2 linked regions of the Mytilus edulis genome follow. The main gene of each other region encodes a partner of the protein of the gene in region 2 in a complex. Links are inferred from orthologs where the notes say so. Each region holds a gene or a part of one and is shown on either strand. Other genes may lie near its edges.

What was found.
Region 1: protein OS-9-like (region 2) and protein FAM8A1-like share a complex: the UniProt entries of both Homo sapiens proteins name them as parts of the HRD1 complex. The link is inferred for Mytilus edulis from reciprocal best matches to the Homo sapiens genes OS9 and FAM8A1.

The regions. Positions count from the first base shown.
Region 1 is NC_092355.1:54,898,194-54,909,003, reverse strand, and holds the start of protein FAM8A1-like, read right to left. Parts: upstream 4,692-10,810; 5' UTR 4,674-4,691; coding exon 4,241-4,673; intron 3,515-4,240; coding exon 3,394-3,514; intron 2,929-3,393; coding exon 2,778-2,928; intron 2,444-2,777; coding exon 2,292-2,443; intron 1,385-2,291; coding exon 1,225-1,384; 3' UTR 1-1,224. UniProt on the Homo sapiens protein: Plays a role in the assembly of the HRD1 complex, a complex involved in the ubiquitin-proteasome-dependent process of ER-associated degradation (ERAD).
Region 2 is NC_092345.1:81,440,048-81,450,917, reverse strand, and holds the start of protein OS-9-like, read right to left. Parts: upstream 4,165-10,870; 5' UTR 4,130-4,164; coding exon 3,977-4,129; intron 3,172-3,976; coding exon 2,995-3,171; intron 1,101-2,994; coding exon 1,037-1,100; intron 1-1,036. Other genes in the region: uncharacterized protein, read left to right, coding at 9,682-9,739. UniProt on the Homo sapiens protein: Lectin component of the HRD1 complex, which functions in endoplasmic reticulum (ER) quality control and ER-associated degradation (ERAD).

The sequences.
Region 1 (10,810 bases), on a different chromosome or scaffold from region 2:
AAATGAGCACAACATTTTTATATAGATATGTCACCTACAAATAAAGAGTTTCTGTAGAGTTTTATTTATGACGTCAATAAAGAATACAGCTTCACAGAATCTTTTAAGTCATTAGCTTTAAATTAAAAGTTTTTTTTTTTTATCCAAATATTTCATTTGAAACAGTTGTGGGAGAAAAAAATAACCCATACATTGACCCTCAATGTAAATTTTATTTGTACTAGGCTCGAAAAGAATTAAAATGCTGGGGGAAACTTCCTGTTTCCAATATGTCTGAGTCTTGTACAAAAATATTTTTATATTTCCAGACAATGTACAGTCATTCCACATGTCTCTAATTTTATGGAAATTTTTACTGTTTCTAACCCAAAAATAATAAACCTGTGGTTGCCGGTGATCTCAGAAGATGATTGAATGAATATAAGGGTCATAACCTTTACCAGGATGGATCAAAATATGCTAACAGGTTTAATGAAATTGTTTTTTGGAATGTGCGAGGCACTCGATAAGGATTTAAGTTTAACAAAAATTTAAAATTTATTTTTTTCATCATTAAAGAAACAGATTTTTACATAGTTTTTCATGAATTATCGGATTTATCCATTCTAAAGTTGAATTATAAATTTTAAAGTCCTTGCCAAGGCTCTGACTTTGAAATTAATAATTTACCTATCTTGATTGGATAAATCTGATAATCCATTGATATCAATATAAGAATCTATATATAATTACATAAGGGTGACATATGAAGGTAATAAATTTGAAATGAGTTTTGTTCAACTTAATACCTTATTGCTGATGTTGAAAAGTATCATCCAATCTTGTAATTTATACTATATTAAATTGCTTTTTCATTAAAGTTTGTAACTGCATCTCAATTTCAGCCTTTTTTCTTGGTTTCTGGTGCCAAAAATTTCCCCATATAGCTGGTTTGCTCTGATACAATAAATTTCAGAAAAAAAGAATGTTTTGAAAACTTACATATATGTCAGAAAGTTATTCTAAAATGTATTGGAAAAACAAAATGTCAATTAACACATAATAAATTGTTATAATATGAAGCTTTAAATTTTAATGAAATTGTGATTAAAATTTTATAATCATAATAAAGGGCAATGATAGGTTTTGTAAAACAACATCATCATAAAAACACATTACATAAAACATAAAACAAATAGAATTGTAACAAATAGTATCTATCATATTAAAATTAACATATATTTGCTATCGCACATTTCGCTGAACTGGACGTATGTGCTCCACAACTATTGTCTTGGCTAAAATGTCATATGCTGCTCGGTTATGTTGGAAAAAGAACACAGTTAAACAGGCAGGAAAAAAGAATGCTAGTGTGAAATTCTTTATCACAGATCTGACCAAGGCACTGAAAAATAAAATATAACATTGTCAATATTTAGATCCATTCTAATGAATTTTTTCCATACTATTGTCATTTCTTAAAAGTCATAAGCTTAAAAAAAAAATATATTGAAATTTAGTATCATAATGTTTCCAATTAACCATATAATATTTTAAGTCTTGCAGACATTCAGATTTGTCCATAAACGGTAATTTCTCTAGAAGTTTGAATCATATCTTAAAATTGTAGAAAGAAACTGCAGATATAATTCTATTAAATAGTTATATTTCAATAAAAACTTGAAAACATTTTTATTTAAAATATAATTTGTATTTTTTTAGTGTAGAAACACTTTCGACCTCTGACTGAAAAATGTATTAAAAAATATGAGAGATTATCTCCCTTTGACTAGATAATTTCAACTTTGTATGTTAAATTAACATGTTTTAAGGGGTCATAAAAACGTAAATATATTTAAAATTGTATTACTCTATTATTATTTTAATATATAAACACTAACTGATTAAAGAAAGAATAACTGCAATTTTTTTATTCTCAGAAACCTTTTATTTAACATGTTTAAAGCACTCTGTTAACATTAGGTATATATATCCCTTAAAACAGGGTTTAATACCATATCAAATCTATTTTGTTCAAATACATGTACTCTTCTCTTTTTTTGTATGCTACTTTATATTTACCGGTCTGTATGTTTGGATATTTCTACCATTTCAAGTATCTTCAAATTTATGTTAAGAATCAAACTGCAGATCAATCAAATTCACATCTGGTTTACAAAATTAGAAGCCTTGTATCTTTAAAGAGTTTTACCATAATGTCATAATTTTTTTAAGCAAAATATATATTTTTTGGTTCCATTTGATTATGCAAACTTGGACAGTTATATTGTCAATTCTATTTGAAAACTTACTTAATAAAGCCTATATCCTCTGCAGGAATGACTAAAACTTTCCCGTTCCCCAGATCCATGATATTTTCACACGATACAACCACCATTCCAAGGAGTCTTTTTCCAGGAGTGGCTCCACCTGGTGATCCCATTCCTTTCCGCAAGCAGAACGTCTAAAATGAAAAAGAGAAATTTCAAATTATTAATGGTTTTTTTAACAACAAACAGGAGTAAAATCATTGAACTATAACAAGTAATTCTTTATCTTATAGAAAGTTGTAAATACTTTCCACTTGATATCATCAACATACATGTCTGCAACAGTTTTCACAATTCTTTGCTCTAAACATAAATGCTGGCTCTCTCTTACATCTTTTTTAAACTTCACAAACATGATACATGTACAAGGACCAACCAACTGATTCAGAACTCTTGCACATACATATTAAATTCTTAGACAAACTTTCCCCTTCCTTCTAAACATTCAAAGTTGAAATACAGTTGTACCTCAAATAAAGTGATCATTATTCTGTTGACGATTTCTAAAGCTATTATTTCTGACGTCATTGTAAAGGCTTTATCTATGTCCATCTCCATGTTTTTCAGGTCAAAATATGGGACAACATCAATATGAACATTCAACACATTTTCTGTTTTTCTGAAAGAAAAATAAATATTTATAAATGTATATATACCATATAGATAAAGCTCATTAAAACTTCAAAATTCAAATAAATTCTGATTCCTAACATTTGATTAAACATCACAGTATCATGTGTATATGAAAGAGTATAAAAGTGCCAAGAAAATATCCAAAAAAAATTAAATCATACATTGTATATATACATTTCATAATATAGGGTTTACTCCAGGTTGGAGGCTGTACAATTTTCATTGAAGTAAAAGGTTTCTACCCATCCCTTAAGGGGCAAAATTCACTCGTCACAACTTGGCTGATTCCGTACCTTCATCTTAGATAGGAGAGTAGTGGATTCACCAAAGGATTGCCGATACAAAATATAATATAAAATTGATGACTAAAAATTACATTTTGAAATAACCACAACTAAAAGATAGTAATATAATCGGTTATAATGATATAATGATATAACAAAAAACTTACAAAATACCCATTTGTCTCATCACCATAATCATGATTATGATTTTCAGGTAAAATAATACAATAAAGTCTATCACTTCTGCTAGAACTCTCTTCCATAAGGGTGGTAACATATATTCTGTACCTGAAATTTCAAAATGGAAATGCATTACATCATGTACATGGTCCATCAAAATGAACAGACAAGCTACATATACATGTATGCATGTATGTTTATGCCATAAATTTACTTTACTACAGACTTATCTGTGCACTTGTAAAGTTAGAGCATACATCATTTAATAATCAATGCCAAAAATAAATTACAAATGTAAGTCTTTTGACTGTATAAAAAGAAACTTACAAAATGTTAATTTTATTCTGTAGCATGTGTCATGTGTGTAGGTTGGCGCCTTTTTTTTTTGCACATTACTTTTACATCATACATGTACTTTAGGAATGTAGCATCACATGTACTCATATTTCATAATTCAGCGCCATTTTGCTATTAAGTCCAATATCAGGCGCTACCCTGATATACCCTGTATTTTGTTTTTGATATTAACGACACGTTAGCCAAATAGTTATTTTATTTTACTTTATTCATTGGAGTTTGTTGTGACGTCCCTATTCATTGAACCAAGGATTTGTATAGTAAGATCTTACTATACAAATCCTTGATTGAACTAGTACATATTTTGTTTAGGAGCCTGCTGAAGCAAGCCTCCGGGTGTGGAATTTTCTTACTGTGTTGTTGGCTGTTTTTCTGTTATTAGTTTGGTCACATGCTAGTTGTTGGTCTCCTTGACACATTCCCCATTTCCATTCTTAATTTTAAATATTAATTAGGCAACACAAATTTCTGAAATACCTAATCTATTTGTTGTTGTTCCTTGTCCTGTAGAAACGTTTCTCTGATTTCGATTTTGAGCCTGAGGGGTTGCACCGATCTGATTATGAATAATTGGGTTAGTAGTTGGATAAACAGGCGCAGAACCAAACGATTGAAATGTCTGTTGGCCCCCGAACTGAAAACAGCTCATTGTCTGGTGGGGGAAAGTTGGTGGTAAAGTTGAAATAGCAGTCCATAATCTGTACTGGTGAATCCATGGGGCCAGTTGCCGAGCATATTCACGCATGTTTATTGTGTTTTTGTTTTCTTCTCGTGTTGATTGTTTGTTGGATCTTTGTTTAAAGTTGTTTTGTCCATTTTCTGGGTTTTCTGTAAAGTTCTTGGGGCTAAAATCTGAGTTTTTCATTGTTTTCTTGTCCATTTCGCTGTATTTTTTCTTCTTTTCCGCCATACTGTCAAAACTGGTGTGACTAATCACCATTCAATCTGTAAAATGAGATAGACCAAAACGATCCCAAATTTATGGGAATATTAAAAATCATTTGTGCATGACTGAAGCGGGCATCCTCTAAGGGCAGTCAGTGCTCCCTTCCCCATTTGAAAATTTCTAGATCTGCCACTGCAAGTTGTTTCAATGATAACCATGAAAATTATATTTTAAAATAATCCACAGCAGGCTTCCCTCTTGTAAATCAGCCTATGTTTTACAATTTGGACAATGGACAGATGATTATTGCAAATATATAAGTAGACATAGTATGAAAAAAGACCAAATACGCTTTCTAATGTGCGTTATAATTTTAGAATGTAGGACAGAAAGTCACAGGACAAAAAGTCACAGACAAAAAGTCACAGGACAAAAAGTCACAATTCATTTTTTCTGATTATTTTCTTTGAATAAAAAATGTTTATTTTCACAAAATTATTTTTGTATTTTTCTTGAACTATTGTATATAAACCAACTTTATAAACAAAATTTTTCAAAAACATATCTAAGATGATCAAATAATTGTTAAAAAAAACAAAATGTCAAAGTGTCTTGGCACTTAAATTAATGGCTTCATGATGCCAAGAAATCTTTCTTTTGCATGATTGAAATTAAATAAATCTTCGTTTGTCAAATATAATGACACACTTCCTTAACTTTAATATAAATATATGTATTAAAAAGTTAATATTTCACATGTTTCAAGATATTTCTCTTATATAAATGTATTCAAACAATTGTCAACAGATTATTTGTGACTTTTTGTCCTGTGACCTTTTGTCCTACCAAATTTGTGACTTTATGTCCTGTGACTTTTTGTCCTGTGACTTTCTGTCCGTTTACCTAATTTTATAGGAACTCAGCATGACGCTTTTGGATTGTAAAGCCGATTAATCAGGAATATTTGTAGAAAATAAACGCTATCAAAACATGCATAAATCAGTTAGTTATCTATGTTTACAATTTTAATATTTATTAAGGTAGCACAATACAAAGATATTTCATCCCTAATCAGACATCTTTAAACTGATGTAATTCCACTCATCCTTCTTTAAATTTTATAAATGAGGTACCAAAAGAAAGAAGAAGGATTAATCTTTCAAATTGTGATAATTTCATTATGACATAATTATTACACAATTAATTGTTATGTAATTATTTGCTATATTGTGATGTCCATACTTGAATGAATTTAGCATCTTTGTTATTCATAGCATCCCAAAATATTTTATAGATTCTTGCACAACACAGTTTGACCTCCAAAACTGTGTCTCAGATTTTTCCTATTGTATTTCATTCTCTCATAAATCTTCAATGAAGTTCGCAACATCAATTCATAGAGATCACTAAATTCAATTGGGTATAAAATTTGTTCTATTGATGTTTTTGGAAATCTGAGACACAGTTTGGGAGGTCAAGCTGTGTTGTACAGGAATCTATAAAATATTTTGGGATGCTATGAATAGTTAAGACGCTAAATTCATTCAAGTGTGGACATCACAATATAGCAACTAATTACATAACAATTAATTATGTAATAATTATGTCATAATGAAATTAACACAATGTAAAAGATTGATCTTTCTTCTTTCTTTTGGTACCTCATTTATAAAATACAAAGAAGGATGAAATGAATTACATCAGTTTAAAGTTGTCTGATTGGGAGTGAAAAAATCTTTGTATTGTGCTACCTTAAGTCTGTGGATTTTTTGCAAAAAAAATCTCTTTAGGGTACACTTTTTCTTTAAAAAAAAAAGGGGGGGATATGAGTCAGAAAATAAAAAAAATAACATTATAAGGTATGGTGAAAATCTAGATTCAGAACATTTTTTTTGTTATCTGCTTGACCACTTTTTTTTTCTTTTTTTTATAAAATTAATTGTTTTTAAGAAAAACCATACCCTCCTGAAGTTAAACATTTAAATTGTCGTCAGTTCCTTATTGATTTGCTACTTATGTACAGCAAATTCCCCATTTCTATAAAGATCAATTATCCTTTCTACAAAAATATAGAATAAAAGTGACGTGCCGTCTTGTACATACATCAAAGGAATAATGTTAAGTGTCTCATTCAATTGAATAAAAAATCTCAGACTTTGTATATATGATATCTATTAAATAAACAATGAAGTTTTATTTAATATTTGTTTCTGTTCTCTATGAACATATCCACGCACGTTCTGATATAATGTCAGAAATATAAGTAAGAATTTCATAATTGGGCGTTTTTTTTTAATAAAAGCGTGACTTTCAGACCTATAAAAACGGAAAATCAAATTGTCTAAAATTATTTCAAGGGTTATTTCATTATTTTGAATACCTCTATTATAGACCTATTTGTAAACAAAAAGTGCAATCTTAAATACTCTTTAAAATGATATTATTTTCATAATTTGTCTACTGTTTCGTAAAAAGTCCCCTACGAAACTGCTTGTAAACACACATATTATTGCAATTTTAAATGTTTGCTATAGACATTCCAGTTTGTTTACTTTTATATATACTAGAAAAATCTCATTTTTTCTGAATCGGAGAACCATTTTTATCGATAAAGATTAGACAGTACTTCACATATGAAGGTACAACTCATGTTTCGTAGTGGACATTTTGATGCGTTTCGTAGTTTACAAAACCGTTTTGTAGTGGAGTTGGACATCAACCCTATTCCATATTAATAAAAAAAAAAAAAAATTACATGAAACTAACCCTTATTATTTGTTTTGCACGAGTAAAATTGAAAAAAAGAGTAAAAAAAGGCTGCATGGTAGTGGTAGTGTCCACTACGGAAACGTTTTTCTCCCATACTTATTTCGTAGGTGACCGTTTCGTAGGGGACATATTCACATGTTTTATTTTTTACCAACAATCCCTGTATTGCAATAGTAACAATACTGATTGTATTCATCAAAACATGTATTAAGCTGTACACTGATATTTTTTTCATAATTTTAAAACCAGATTCTGAAAGAGATTTGACCCGTTTCGTAGTGGACATTAACAAAAATACGGTATCACTCTGGTCCATTTGATGTGCTCAATTTTTCTTACCAACAATTTAATTGCCGTTATAAAAGCATCAATTCTTTTGTAAGACCCTAATGTTTATATCTCTTGCAAACAAAATTATATTGATTTTATAAAACTGTTTATTAGCAAATTTTAATGACTTCGTTTCGTAGTGGTCATTTTGTCAGGGACACACCTTCTGAAATTAAAAATCCTATGTTAAAAGCTGTTTATAAAATTATGTTGGCTCTAAACATACTTTTGAATTATCAAAGAACTTATATTAAGTAAAAATAACATTTATTTCTACATTTTTTTACGATATTTTAGAGTATGAATGTTGAACAGGCGGTCTAAGGATATGCCATTTTGCCGGGTTGTTTTGGACCATTCAGGAATCAATATCTTATCAATCCCTCTAAAAAATAAACTGTTTCTTTGCTTTAAAATGTTAAATCTAATTCAATGTACTGACTGCACAAACATGCAATTACTTGCAAAGATCAAACACATTTTTTTAAAAGTGGCTGGGACAAGAAAGTACGTTTTTATTGAAAAACGCCCAATTAAGATAATACAACAAAACTTATCCATTTGATTTTCAGGTTGAATTGAATCATACTGACGAATAACCTTTAAAACATGCCTCTAAATCATCATTTCAAGACTTAAATTGTCAATTTAGGCCACCATATGTATATATACTTGATCAAACAAACCAATCTGTTGCTAAATAAACTAGTATACGTTGAACAAGCGGTTTCAGATGTTTTTATTGCATCCTCAACGGAGTTGTGGTGACGTATTGGTATTCTACGTTTCTTTTTATTTATTTCACCCCTATGGAAATAGGGGTGATATATTGTTATTGTTCCGAATTATTCTTCCACACTTTTTGTCCAGCTTAGTTCTCGGAGATGACTTGATATACATTGATAAAACTGTACCATAGTGACAATTCCCATGTGCAGATGTGCAGTGAGGGTCTGGAATTTTCAAGATGGCCGCCGTAACCACGGAAAGGGCAAAAATGTGAAAAACCGAAAAATGCTCAAAATTAAATGAAACTTTCAGACATTATAACTCATCATTCGAAAGCATGAAATCCATCTTAAAAACTTTCAAAATGGCTACCGTTGCCATGGAAACAGTCCAAACGTGGAAACTGAAACGAAAATAATTCCTCAATTAATTCATAGTAAATCAACCGTTACAGATACGACCCCCAAACCTACCCCCGCGTAACAAGAGTATGAACGGTAGAATTCATTGCCGTTGGAATTTTTGAGATTGCTACTGTTACCATGGAGATAAGGATAAAAGTGCAATGTTGACCCATATGGGAAAAAACGTCAAAGTACCATTTTCTTACAAATTTTAAGCTCATTCCCGGTTAAATGCTATTGGAACGGCATCTGTCCTTGCCATTTTCAAAATGGTTTTTGCCGCCGTTGTCATGGAAACGGCAAAATAATAAACATAACACACTTCGCAAATTTGAGTCAAAATTCTGTAATCATGAGTATGTGCATACGATCAAATACAAATCTAGCTGTACTGCAAAACATCTTCTAGAATATGCTAGAATAAAACTAATATATTTTTTGACGTGCTTCTATTCTTTACAAAAATCGTGCTTTGAAGAGAAAATCGCCACTGAGAGAAACACATGAGAAAGAGAAACACGAAGAGTACACGTAAGTGACATTTCTGCACTTGCACTAAAGTACACATTCGTTAATCGAACACCTGCTACAATATACACATTAGGCAGCAACCATTTGATTTTCTTGGGGGGGGGGGGGGGGGGGGGGGCTATGATTTTTTTTTGGAAAAAAAAGTTTGTTTCCAGTTTTTGGAGAAAAAAATAATTCGTTTTGAATTCTGAAAAAAAATAATTGTTTGTTACCCCCTCAGCTGCCACTATATGTAATGCTAAAATTGAAAGAAAAAAATTGTTTTCGACTTGTTTGTACAGAAAAAAAAAACATAGCCCCCCCCCCCCCCCCCACCCGGAAATTAAATAGTTGCTGCCTTAGCTGAAATCAATCGATAAGCGTGTAATTAAATTGTACAAAATAAGATACATGTATCGTGTGATACGCGAGCTATTGAAGAACAAAATGAACAGTTAGTGTGTCGCTCTGTCAACATGGTCAATATATACACATGTTGTCTGTCCAAGGTCCCCTCTAAAAAGAATATTAAAGTCCACGATAATATACTTCAGTATCACGTGACACCACTTTTCTTCCTCGCGCGTGTGTCTAATTTAAGATTTTAAAGAGTTCCCCGACCATATATAGACATCAATCTTATTCTACGAGAAGAGAAAAAATGGGGGGGGGGGGGGGGCAAAGGCATGTATACAATGTACTAGACGTGCCCTGTGACTTTGGTACGCTCAAATCGGTTGTTGCTGCTGTGCCAATGTCCAGAACGGGGTGACATCATCCGTTATTGCTTGCAATGGCAAATCTAGTCTTCTTTTTATTTTTCTTCCACACTTTTTTGTCCACTCTGGATCTCGGAATTGAAAAGACCCAAGTTGATGGAACAATATATAACTACCATGGGCAGATGTGCAATTGGCCGTTGCCATGGAAACAGCAAAAACGCGAAAAAGTGGAAAGTGTTCCAAACTCAATGAAACTTTTCGTAAATGGTAACTGCTTTGTGTAGAAAATACAGTTCGACAAAATGGCCGATGTTACCATGGAAACAGCAATTATGTCCAAAATTTCTCAATGCTTTAAACTCAATGAAACTTTGCAATAATGTTAATTGGCATGTGTAGATGTCCGCTTTGATATTGCAATTTTCAAAATGGCTACCGTTACCATTGTAATTGGGGACGAGGGTGCTATCTGTTATTGCTAGCAATTACAAATCTATAGTTACTCTTATTATCGGTGCTCCAAGCAAAAATTTGACAAATAAGAATAAAGACCATCTCAAAAATAAAGATTCTAGAAAGTTGAGTCTGATGCGCGGCTAAGACGTTGGCATGGTTGTAGTAAAATGTTTAAAGTAGGTATAGGGGATGATCAAGAAATGTTCATAAGTAGGGGGCCACTGACTGCCTAAGAGGGGCC
Region 2 (10,870 bases):
AAACATAATAGCATAACATTTGTAGGTTGTAGAATTTTCATAAAATTTTATGGGCAAAAACTGTTTAAAAAATCAAAAAATTCTATAACTAAAGAATTGTTTTTCCAATTCAAAACAAATATCTCACAATCATTCACAACAGTCACTTTAATAAAGGAAAGGCTTCAAAAGAACACTCTAGTCCTAAGTTCTGTAAAGGGAAATAAGTATTGAAGAGTCTTTAACGTCAGTATGCATAATTGATTTCCCATAGGCAGTTGTAATTACATTTTCTTCTGAAAATCAGTCCATATCGTATACTTGGATATGTATGATGGTTCGTTTGGAAGCTGCAACAGTTTCACTTTATTTGGTTAAATGTTAGGTTAAGGAAGTATGATTCATTTTTTTATAAATTAGCACATCCAGAAACTCCTTTCATGATGCGGCTCTCCCCAACTTTTGTGTCCCTAAATTTCAGGCCCATTGTGGATGTGACCCATTTTAGCAACCTGTAATATGAGAGAGGAATTACATGACCTCTGAGAAAGAAAAAAAAACTCTTTTGGGGAACTTGAAAAGTTATAGCAAAGATATATTTAAGATATGGATGTCTTAAAGAGTTTTCGATATTTTCAACATTAATTTAAAACAGGGATAGTATGTTAATGAAATTTTGGAAATCATTTGAAGTTTAGTATTTAACCTTTTTCATGCATAGCTCTGATCAGGATATTAAGCAATCAATTAAATGAAAGGAGTGGTGGTATCCCCTAACCATGTCAGAAGGAGCAGGGCCAAATAATCTTCGTGGAAATGAAAATGTGCTGATACTGATTCAACTGCTGACCAAATATCATTTACTTTTAACTTGTGGTTCCCCTTAAACTGACCAAATCACAAACTTTAACTTCGACTTTCAGTCAAAAAAAACTCAGCAAAACCAATTTTAAGAGCCTAGGATACCTAAAATACTTCATCTCCTATTGAAGCACAATATTTGAGTATTTCAAAGTTCTGTCAGACATCAGTTAGAGTTTTAATTTCTATTTTATACCTTCAATATGAAATTGTCGGATATATTTCCCATAGCAGAACTCATAACTCCACCAATCCTTTGCCTGAAAAAAATATATACATGTACTCAAGGTAATAATTTAAGATACAACAAACAAACAAGAGGCTCTCAAGAGCCTGAATCGCTCACCTGGTAAACAATGCCTTATTGAACATATTGAACCATGCCAGGCAAACATGTACAGCTAACAATTCTTCAATATTACAAATATATATGACTTACTGTTTATAAATAAAGAAAATGAGACCAAAACACAAACACTTAAAACTTAGCAATGGACTGTGAAAATGAGGTCAAGTTCAAATAAAACCTGCGTAACCGACATATAGATCATAAAATATTTTCATACACCAAATATAGTTGACCTAATGCATAAAGTATTGAAAAAATAGACCAAAACTAAAAAAGTTAACTTTGACCACTGAACTATGAAAATGAGGTCAAGGTTAGATGACACCTGTCAGCTAGACATGTACACCTTACAATCATTCTATACACCAATTTTAGTAGACCTATTGCATATAGTATAAGAAAAACAGACCAAAACACAAAAACTTAACTATAACCACTGAACCATGAAAATGAGGTCAAGGTGAGATGACACCTGCCAGTTGGACATGTACACTTTACAGTTCTTCTATGCTTTCGTTTTTGAGATATAAGCCAAAAACTGCATTTGACCCCTATGTTCTATTTAAAGTAAGGGCGGCCATGTTTTTTGACGGATCAAAAATCGAAGCACACACTTTGTGCAGGATAATCTAAGGAACTATCATGCTAAGTTTCATCCAAATCCATTCAGTAGTTTCAGAGGAGAAGATTTTTTAAAGTTAGCAAATATGATGAACAAATTGTGAAAAATTGTCATTAAAAGACATTTACCCCTTAAGGGGTCAATTGACAATTTTGGTCATATTAATCTATTTGTAGATCTTACTTTGCTGATCATTTTTGCTGTTTACAGTTTATCTTCATCTATAATAATATTCAAGATAATGACCAAAAACTGCAAAATTTCCTTAAAATTACCAATTAAGTGGCAGCAACCCAACAATGGTTTGTTTGATTCATCTGAAAATTTCTGAGCTGATAGATCTTGACCTAATAAACATTTTTACCCCATGTCAGATTTGCTCTAAATGCTTCCGTTTTTGAGATATAAGCCAAAAACTGCATCGGACCCCTATGTTCTATTTTAAGTAACGGCGGCCATGTTTTTTGACGGATCAAAAATTAAAGAACACACTTTGTGCAGGATAATCTAAGGAACAATCATTTTAAGTTTCATTCAAATCCATTCAGCAGTTTCAGAGGAGAAGATGTTTGAAAAATTGTTAACGACGACGACGACGGACGCCAAGTGATGAGAAAAGCTCACATGGCCTTTTAGGCCAGGTGAGCTAAAAAGGAACTAAATGAATATTATAAAATTTGAAGATATGTGGCCTTAGGCAGATATGAATTTTCTTTTTTAATTAAATATTCTAAGCCTATCTACAGTGTTAGTTTCAACTAGAATCTTTTGAATGTACATTTAGTCACTGTTTTGCATACACTTTTTACAGGGTACATTTTCTGATAAATACTCAGTTGATGAAGCTTATATAATTCCAAACTCCTAAAATAATTGATCATCTTGTGTATTCCCCTCTCTCTCTTTCTGCTCCATTTAAATAGCATTTACAAGTTTAGGTATTATAAAACAATTGGTAAAAACGATTTTGTCTCATTCTGATCAATATGTTGAAATGATTTTATGTCAGAAAGCATTGAATATAGGTCTGAATGATATACCTGTAATTATAGACATTCCAGAATTTCCTATCCCCTAAGGTTTCATGCTTTATATACAATGTAGATGTAAGTTATTTTTATAGAGTTTAAGCAAAAAAAAACAAAATCTGTCCCTTTAAAACAGTACATCAAAAATTATATACCTTCAGCAAACAAGGTACAGATTCTAATGGTTTAAGTAATTCAGGAATTCCAGTTTCTAAAGCTTCTTTTTCCTTTTCTTCAGTTTTTCTTACTGTTTCCACTTGGTCTGGAAAATGACATTGATATCTCTGTCCATATTTGGACGTTAAATGGATGTGATTTACCGGCAATTCTACCTAGAAATATACATTCCATCATAAAGAAACAGCAATTCATTAGTGTTTAGTTAAATGAATTTCATTTTTAATTAGATGTTGACATTTACAAAAAAATGTAGCTAATATCTAACTAGTTGTGGATCCAATGGGTATCACAAGATGTATGTGCATGACATCCCTAATATGGCTAAAATGGGGCAACATACAGAATACAAATTAAATTTTAGAATAATTTACACTACCAATAAGCCTCTCACTGGTAAATATAAAATTGTCTGTATGTATTATTTGGATAGTCAACCTTCCTTTAACACACAATACACCAGTGACCTTAATATCGCTATTTGTCCATCATTACTGGACATCACAAATGTTCCAGTAAAATTTGTTAAATCACAACAGGACATGCCAGACTCTGCAATGAAAAGTTGGTTGATGCACGACGTCAAGTTCAATGACATCAATAGTTCGACAAGTGTCACAGATTCTTGGGTCAAGGGTCTGAAGTTTCCAAAAAAGCAATATTATAAGTTCTTTAATCAATATGTGTATACAGTAAGCTGAACAAGGATTTGTATAGTAAGATACACAAATCTTAATTTATAATGAAGTTTTCTATAATTTTGATATAATTTATAATATATAAAGTAGCACAACAAAGTTTAAAAATATAATTGAGAAATCACAGGTGAGATTTTTCTTAATTAAGATTTATGGTTTAAAGAAATGCACAACAAAATAACTGTGTTTTCAGATCTTCTCAGGCCGAATTTGCTAAAAAAAAATATGTTGAGGGATGTATAGAAAACCTGCATATTTGTACCTCCGGCTTTAACAACACTGGCTCTTTTAAAATATCGATTCCATAATTTACGTTGTTTATTTCTTCTATATCTAACATTCCTGAAAACATTACTATATTTCCAAAACATTGTGAAAGTAATAGGAAGATTGTGAAGCTGGAAAAGTGATCCATGTTTGTTTTGGTTCAATACGCATGCGTATGATTACGCGACAAGATTAATTCCGAATGGAGAAAGGGTATTGACAAAACTCGTATCACTTTTCTTCCCCAGATCCTGATATTTGCAGTTTGAATTTCTTTAGTAGTTTCGATGATCCTTCTTGAGTGATTTTTATTTGGACCATTTCAAATTTGTGTTCTATGGATTTAATTTTAGTTTACAAATATAAGTATGTGATAATTTAAATATAGGGTTTATAAAATAAGTAAAACAAAGAAAAATTGTAAAAATTGATAATATAACAAATATACAAAAAGATAGGTACAGCCAACTTCAGAACCAAATCTTAATATCGACAGAGACATATTAAACAAGAATATAACGATAGAAGAATTCAAAAAAAGTTTTAAGTAGTTTATGATCATATGAGGGAAGTGCTACTGCTACCTTAAATGCCAGGTTACCTAGACTATGTCCTACATATACTGTAGTTTTTGTCTGAAGTAAAATAATAAGTTCAAATGAAATATATTTCGGGAACGACCGTTGGCATTGCACTTCAAAAGGTAAGGGCATACGATACAATTTTGATCCCATATTGAAATTTTGATGACAATTTGCATATAGGCTATTATTTGGCTGATTAAATCAAATATGTTATAAAAAATTACCTTAATGTGCTACTTTTTGAGTAAAATGAGGTCCAAATTTTATATATTTGCTCTAAATTCGGATTTGTGGACGTATTTTTCCTTTCGACACAAATCCGAATTTTGAGCAAATATATAAAATTTGGACCTCATAGTGGTCTAATTAATTAATTAATTAGAAGTCAGCAATCATTAAAAATCTCACGCATGTTTCTTTATTTTAATTTTTAAAAATCCAAATAAAAAATATATGTTAAAGCTAAATTTATAATATTTATCCTTTCATGTTCCTGTTGAAATCATTAAAGCATCATGCCAGGCTTTTTCAAGAAGGTGAAGCATATTTTTTTATCCTTGCATGTTCCTATGGTCCTAGAAAAAGCAATATCTCAATAGAACTCTTTGTTTTCCTTTGAAAATATGCAATATATATTGATCAAACAGGCCCTTTTCTCTCTTATACTTGTTCGTTCTAAGACACAAAGTCCCATATACGAAATTGGGAAACTAGTCCCCAAAAAAATGTATCAAATAAAGGAGAAAAAAGGGAGGAGGATGAGTTACAGAAACAATAAACCTGTAAATTGAGTTTTGAATATGCATTAGATGATCTTAGATATTTGTCACTGCACGTCCGATGAACAATCAATTAGTACACGAAATGCGCCAGTTTGGGTTATGCAATATTTAAATTAATCATTATTATGATAAAATTATCCTATTGGTAGAGAAATTCACAATTTTTTATATCAAATTGGTCATTTGTTATATCAAATTAATAATTTGTTATATCAAATTAATAATTTGTTATATCAAATTAATAATTTGTTATATCAAATTAATAATTTGTTATATCAAATTTACAAATTGTTATAATTATCAAAATTGAAAATCTGTTATACCAAATTGATAATATCAGATTATTCCATATTGGTATTATTTTAGTAGGTTTCTCTATATGAATTGGACTTTGAATAAAAAAGCATATTCACCTGAGAAAGTGTTATTCACCGCGCTAAACGTCACGCGCTTTTACATGCTACGTTATGGTAAAATGTTTCATGTAAAATTTGTTTTGGTATTATGTTTGTCATCAAATACATTTTATCTCCTCGGAATATGGAATAAAACAATTACTGTCTTTTGTTTCGGTAAATATGTGGTTTAATTGACTTTTGAAAAACTGATATTCACTTCGGCCGTCGGCCTCAGTGAATATCAATTTTTCAAAAGTCAATAAAACCGCATATTTACCTCATCAAAAGACAGTAATTGTATATTATTACATGGCATTTTTCATATTGCATGTATTATCAGCCCTAGGTTCAATACTCAGCCCAAGAGCCGCATGGCTCGAGGGCTGATATTGACCGAGGGCTGATAATACATGCGATATGAAAAATGACATGTTATGATCTTTTTATCATATGCTTCAACAGTAGAAAAAAATAACAGATTCATATATTGATCCTTTTACGTGGTTCCAGAAGTTTAAAGAGTAAAAAAGTTCACGGCCGTCGGACCCAAAATTTGATACATTCAATATGAAATCTTTCTATCATATGTCTCAACAGAGCGAGAAAAAAAAACCCATTTATTATGGACGAATCGACAAAAAAATAATTCAACAATATACATAATGATCATTGTTTGGAAAAGTCAACTTTTTAAAGAAACTTTCTAAATTATGTTTCAGAAAAACTTAAAAAATGCATTTATTATTATTTTTTTTTTTTTTTATGATTTTAAACAATATTCTTTCCAGTATTCAAATAGTTGTTTTGTACACTACTTTGTAATGTTTTTCACTGAAAACGTAGCATTGAGGTGTATTTTCCGGAATTGGCCGAGTATTACCGGAATGCCACGTGATAACGTTACGGAAAGGCATGTGATAAGCATTTGATAAATTTTTCATATCAGCCCGCTAAGCACCAATTCGAAAAATATGGAATTTACGTCAATTTAATGCTATTATCATACGGTAAAATTTATAGGTTATTTAGTCTAAGTATATGATAATCTGTTATATCGAATTGATAATCTGTTATATCGAATTGATAATCTGTTATATCAAATTAATAATTTGTTATATCAAATTGTATAAAGTAATTGAACATGGCCCTTAAAGGCTTCCGTAAGATTTAAATTTGGATTTTGATATTCGACAATTCGTAGACTATAACTTGACATTCATAACAATTTTGAGTTGACATCCTTTTAAAATAAAACCCTGTTTAATAATTACATTTGTATATAAGCGCACGAAACGCAACACATTTGGAGTTGTATGTGTTCAAAAGTTATGACACCATTCATTTTTTTTGCACCAATAGTTACATTAATTAAAAATAGTTCAATGTCATTGGTCGTTACTAATAATAAAACCCATTGTCACTATGTGCGTCATATTACGCAAAAAGACTCATTCTAAAATTATGTACCATATAATACCTGTATTCCTATATAGATCTATATAGGCTTACTGTTTATATATGTATAATATAGTGTTCTTGGTGTAACACAAAGGATAACCATTATATAGACAAAGCTGCAGATAACATTATGACTTTCAAGTCATCTATTATCATTTGGGTTTTAGCGGTTAATTCAGGTAGGTTAAAACGATATTAGCAAATTGTAACATTTTTATTTTTAAATTTCTGATTTATACTAAAAGTTTGTGTTTAAGAGGTATATTTGGAAGTATCTTTAAGACATCAAATAACATTTCACTCATAAGGTTTTACAACATATATGGTAGGGAGAAAAGGACAACCCTGTCGTACTCTGTAACTGAAATAGTTATGACAATTAATTAGATCTTTGATACAACTACAATATGCAGTTGTCACCAATAGACAAAAAATACTATTGTAATAAATAAAAAAACGCACATAAAGTGTACATTATTTTACAACAAAATCTTATTTTTCTTTTTCAGTTTTGCGTATACAAGGCATACCTATAAAACATTCCAAGATGTACAGGAAGTTTATTTTGCCTCCATATGCTACAAGCATTCATCCGTTCATCTACACACCATTCATCAAACTCTTTCATTTTTTCCTCCCTATGTCTTACGGAAACAGACAAAATTGGATCAGTTTTCTGACATTGACAGACACAGATTATGAATACCTCAAAAACAAAGGTCCAACCACTGTACCAACACTGCAGACTACAGACAAATCATTGGAAAGAGCAGACCCACCCGTTATACATATACCGACACATCAGACAACTCCTCGCATGGAGCCAATGGACATTCCAATTCTTCCATTATAGGACTTTAGAACTCCTCTAATGGAGATACATCAAATTCAACGCAAATTAGATAGAAGGAATGCAAATACATTGGAGCTAGATTTAGGTTCTTATATCTAATGGCAGCAGATGTTGAACTATCTGATGACGAGCAGTGGTCGAGTATTCTTCATAGATGACAGATAAAGCCTGTTAGCGAAAGACGATGACGACGATTCGCACGATGTTGTTACAAGCGAGTATTTCATGACGTCCCTATCATAAGAGCATTTTGACGTTGTTCCAAAAACCGTTTCAAGCGTTCAAGCTTATATCAAACAAGTGAATTTGTTAATCTGATTTCGGTTTTTTTCTCAATTAAACTTGAATGTTCATAACATGCAGAAATGACCAGGCTTTCAGGTCCATCATTGAATTTTTTTTTATGTACAGCGAAACCTGGCTTAACCGAATCCTGCATAAACCGAAAACCTGTATGAACCAAAAATGTTCTTAAGCACCGTCATATCAAATTGTACGAGTTGTCACGGTGAACCTGATAAAACCGAACATCGGCCAAAACTGAACATAATCTTAAGTCCCGAAAAGGTTTGGTTTAAACAGGTTTCACTGTTATATTATTCTCTGTTTTTCTTTTGACGATTTGAAACCTGGCTGTAGATAGACGACGTTACAAGCTATTTGCGATATATACATGTATATTTAATTAAGTGGCAAAATTGACTCGGAGGAAACCAAACCTGTGCAAATTGTTAATTAAACATTTTTGATGACGGAGGGTGTAATACTGCATATTTTAATTCCTTAAGAATTGAACGATGGACACTTATGACGTGAATTTTTCTTGCTACCTGATTGGAAGATATTACGAGTCGTGAATAATCAAAATTTATTGATTGGTTAGGACAATCCAAACCTAGTAAATGTCCTTCAATCCCGTAGAGTATCGGATTTGTCGTCTCTATCTTAGCAATTAGATTTTACACAGGTAACTTTTATCTATGAATAGACGAATCTTCTGGAGTAAACAACAACGTTAAACGATACTATTTCATAACGTGTGACCTCACGTGTGTGGTAAAATTTGTTGATTGATGCACCTGGCTATTCTAGTAAATGAATTAATCTACAAAGCGAGAGCTCTTTCCATTGTCATCAGCTAAGAGTCGAATATAGCACTTTTTGAAAGGCTATCGCTTGTTTCTATACTATAACTTCGATACCGTGGCTCGCTATTCAGGTATGATACCACAACTTAGGTATTGCTTGCTGGGACTTTGTTAGTTTCTGTTGTATTTCTTCACAACTTGCCTAGACTCGGGCCGATTGCGACATGTACTAGTCTATAAAATTGTTAGATGCATATATTAATCTCAAGATATTTTTTTATGAGGTTTAATTTAACTTGTTTAGTTACTGTCTAATTAATTCATATTTTGAATAAATCTTTCATTTCCATAAAGTGTTTTCATTTAAGCAAAATAAAATCTTTACAAACCTGATTTGAAACTCTTGTAAAAATACAAACATGGAGATCGATTACTTAAAGTACATATGTAACTCCAACAACACACATGTGCATCTGACATACATTTAAAGAAAAGGTAACTTACAGGTAAAAAGCGTGTGTATCATAGTATTTGGTTATGTGTAAAATGCATTTAAGGCCATGTATTGTAATAATAGCTCTGCAAGCTCTTCATTGTGAGTATTCTAAAAGTTTTATGTTTTGAACAAACTTGTTTTTGTTTGTAGATATAGTACGTCTTAGTGTTGCTGAATGTCAATGAAGCATTATAGTTGGTTTAAAACATTTATAAATTAAGCATGTGAATATCACATATAACACCTCGAATTTTTATGGACACTGTTTCCAGATGGTTGACCGTTATGGAATATCTGTTTCCAGATGGTTGACCGTTATGCCGAATATCTGTTTCCAGATGGTTGACCGTTATGGAATATCTGTTTCTCAGATGACGACGGAAATATGCTAATGCCAATGGCCATAGCCACAATCCCATTCTCTTTTCTTCAAAAATTACATCATTATTGTATAATAATCTTATATATGAGCAACACGACGGGTCCCACATGTGAAACAGGATTTGATTTACCCACCCTGAAGACCTGATATCCCCAGGCCTGAGTTAATAGCGTTTATGTTGATAAGCTTTTAGTTTTCTATGATAAGATTGATATCCCCAGGCCTGAGTTAATAGCGTTTATGTTGATAATCTTTTAGTTTTCTATGATAAAATTGATATCCCCAGGTCTGAGTTAATAGCGTTTATGTTGATAATCTTTTAGTTTTCTATGATAAGATTGATATCCCCAGGCCTGAGTTAATAGCGTTTATGTTGATAATCTTTTAGTTTTCTATGATAAGATTGATATCCCCAGGTCTGAGTTAATATGGGGACGGAGTCCCCAATAACAGTAGAAAATTCAATAAAAAAAAAATACGGGAAAATTTCCCGAATTTTTCATTGTACTAATGAACTCAAAATCGTTCAATTTTTTTTTTGTCGTGTTTTGAAATCCCGGACCTGCGCAAAAATGTACAATGTACTTCCTTTTTCCGGTCTCGTTTGTATGAAACTTTGAGTAAAATATATATTTATCAGTCTAGTATAAAATAGGAAGGAACGCGCAATACCAATTTCATTTTTAATAATTCCTTGATATGAAAAAACGTTACCTGATGATAGCGTTTCTGTGTTTACATTGCATATGACGTTATAATTTAAATAACGTCACAACTAAACCCCTAACAACAGAACCAACATCGGAAACGTTACGGTATTTCCGTTTTTTTTTATCAACATGTTTGAA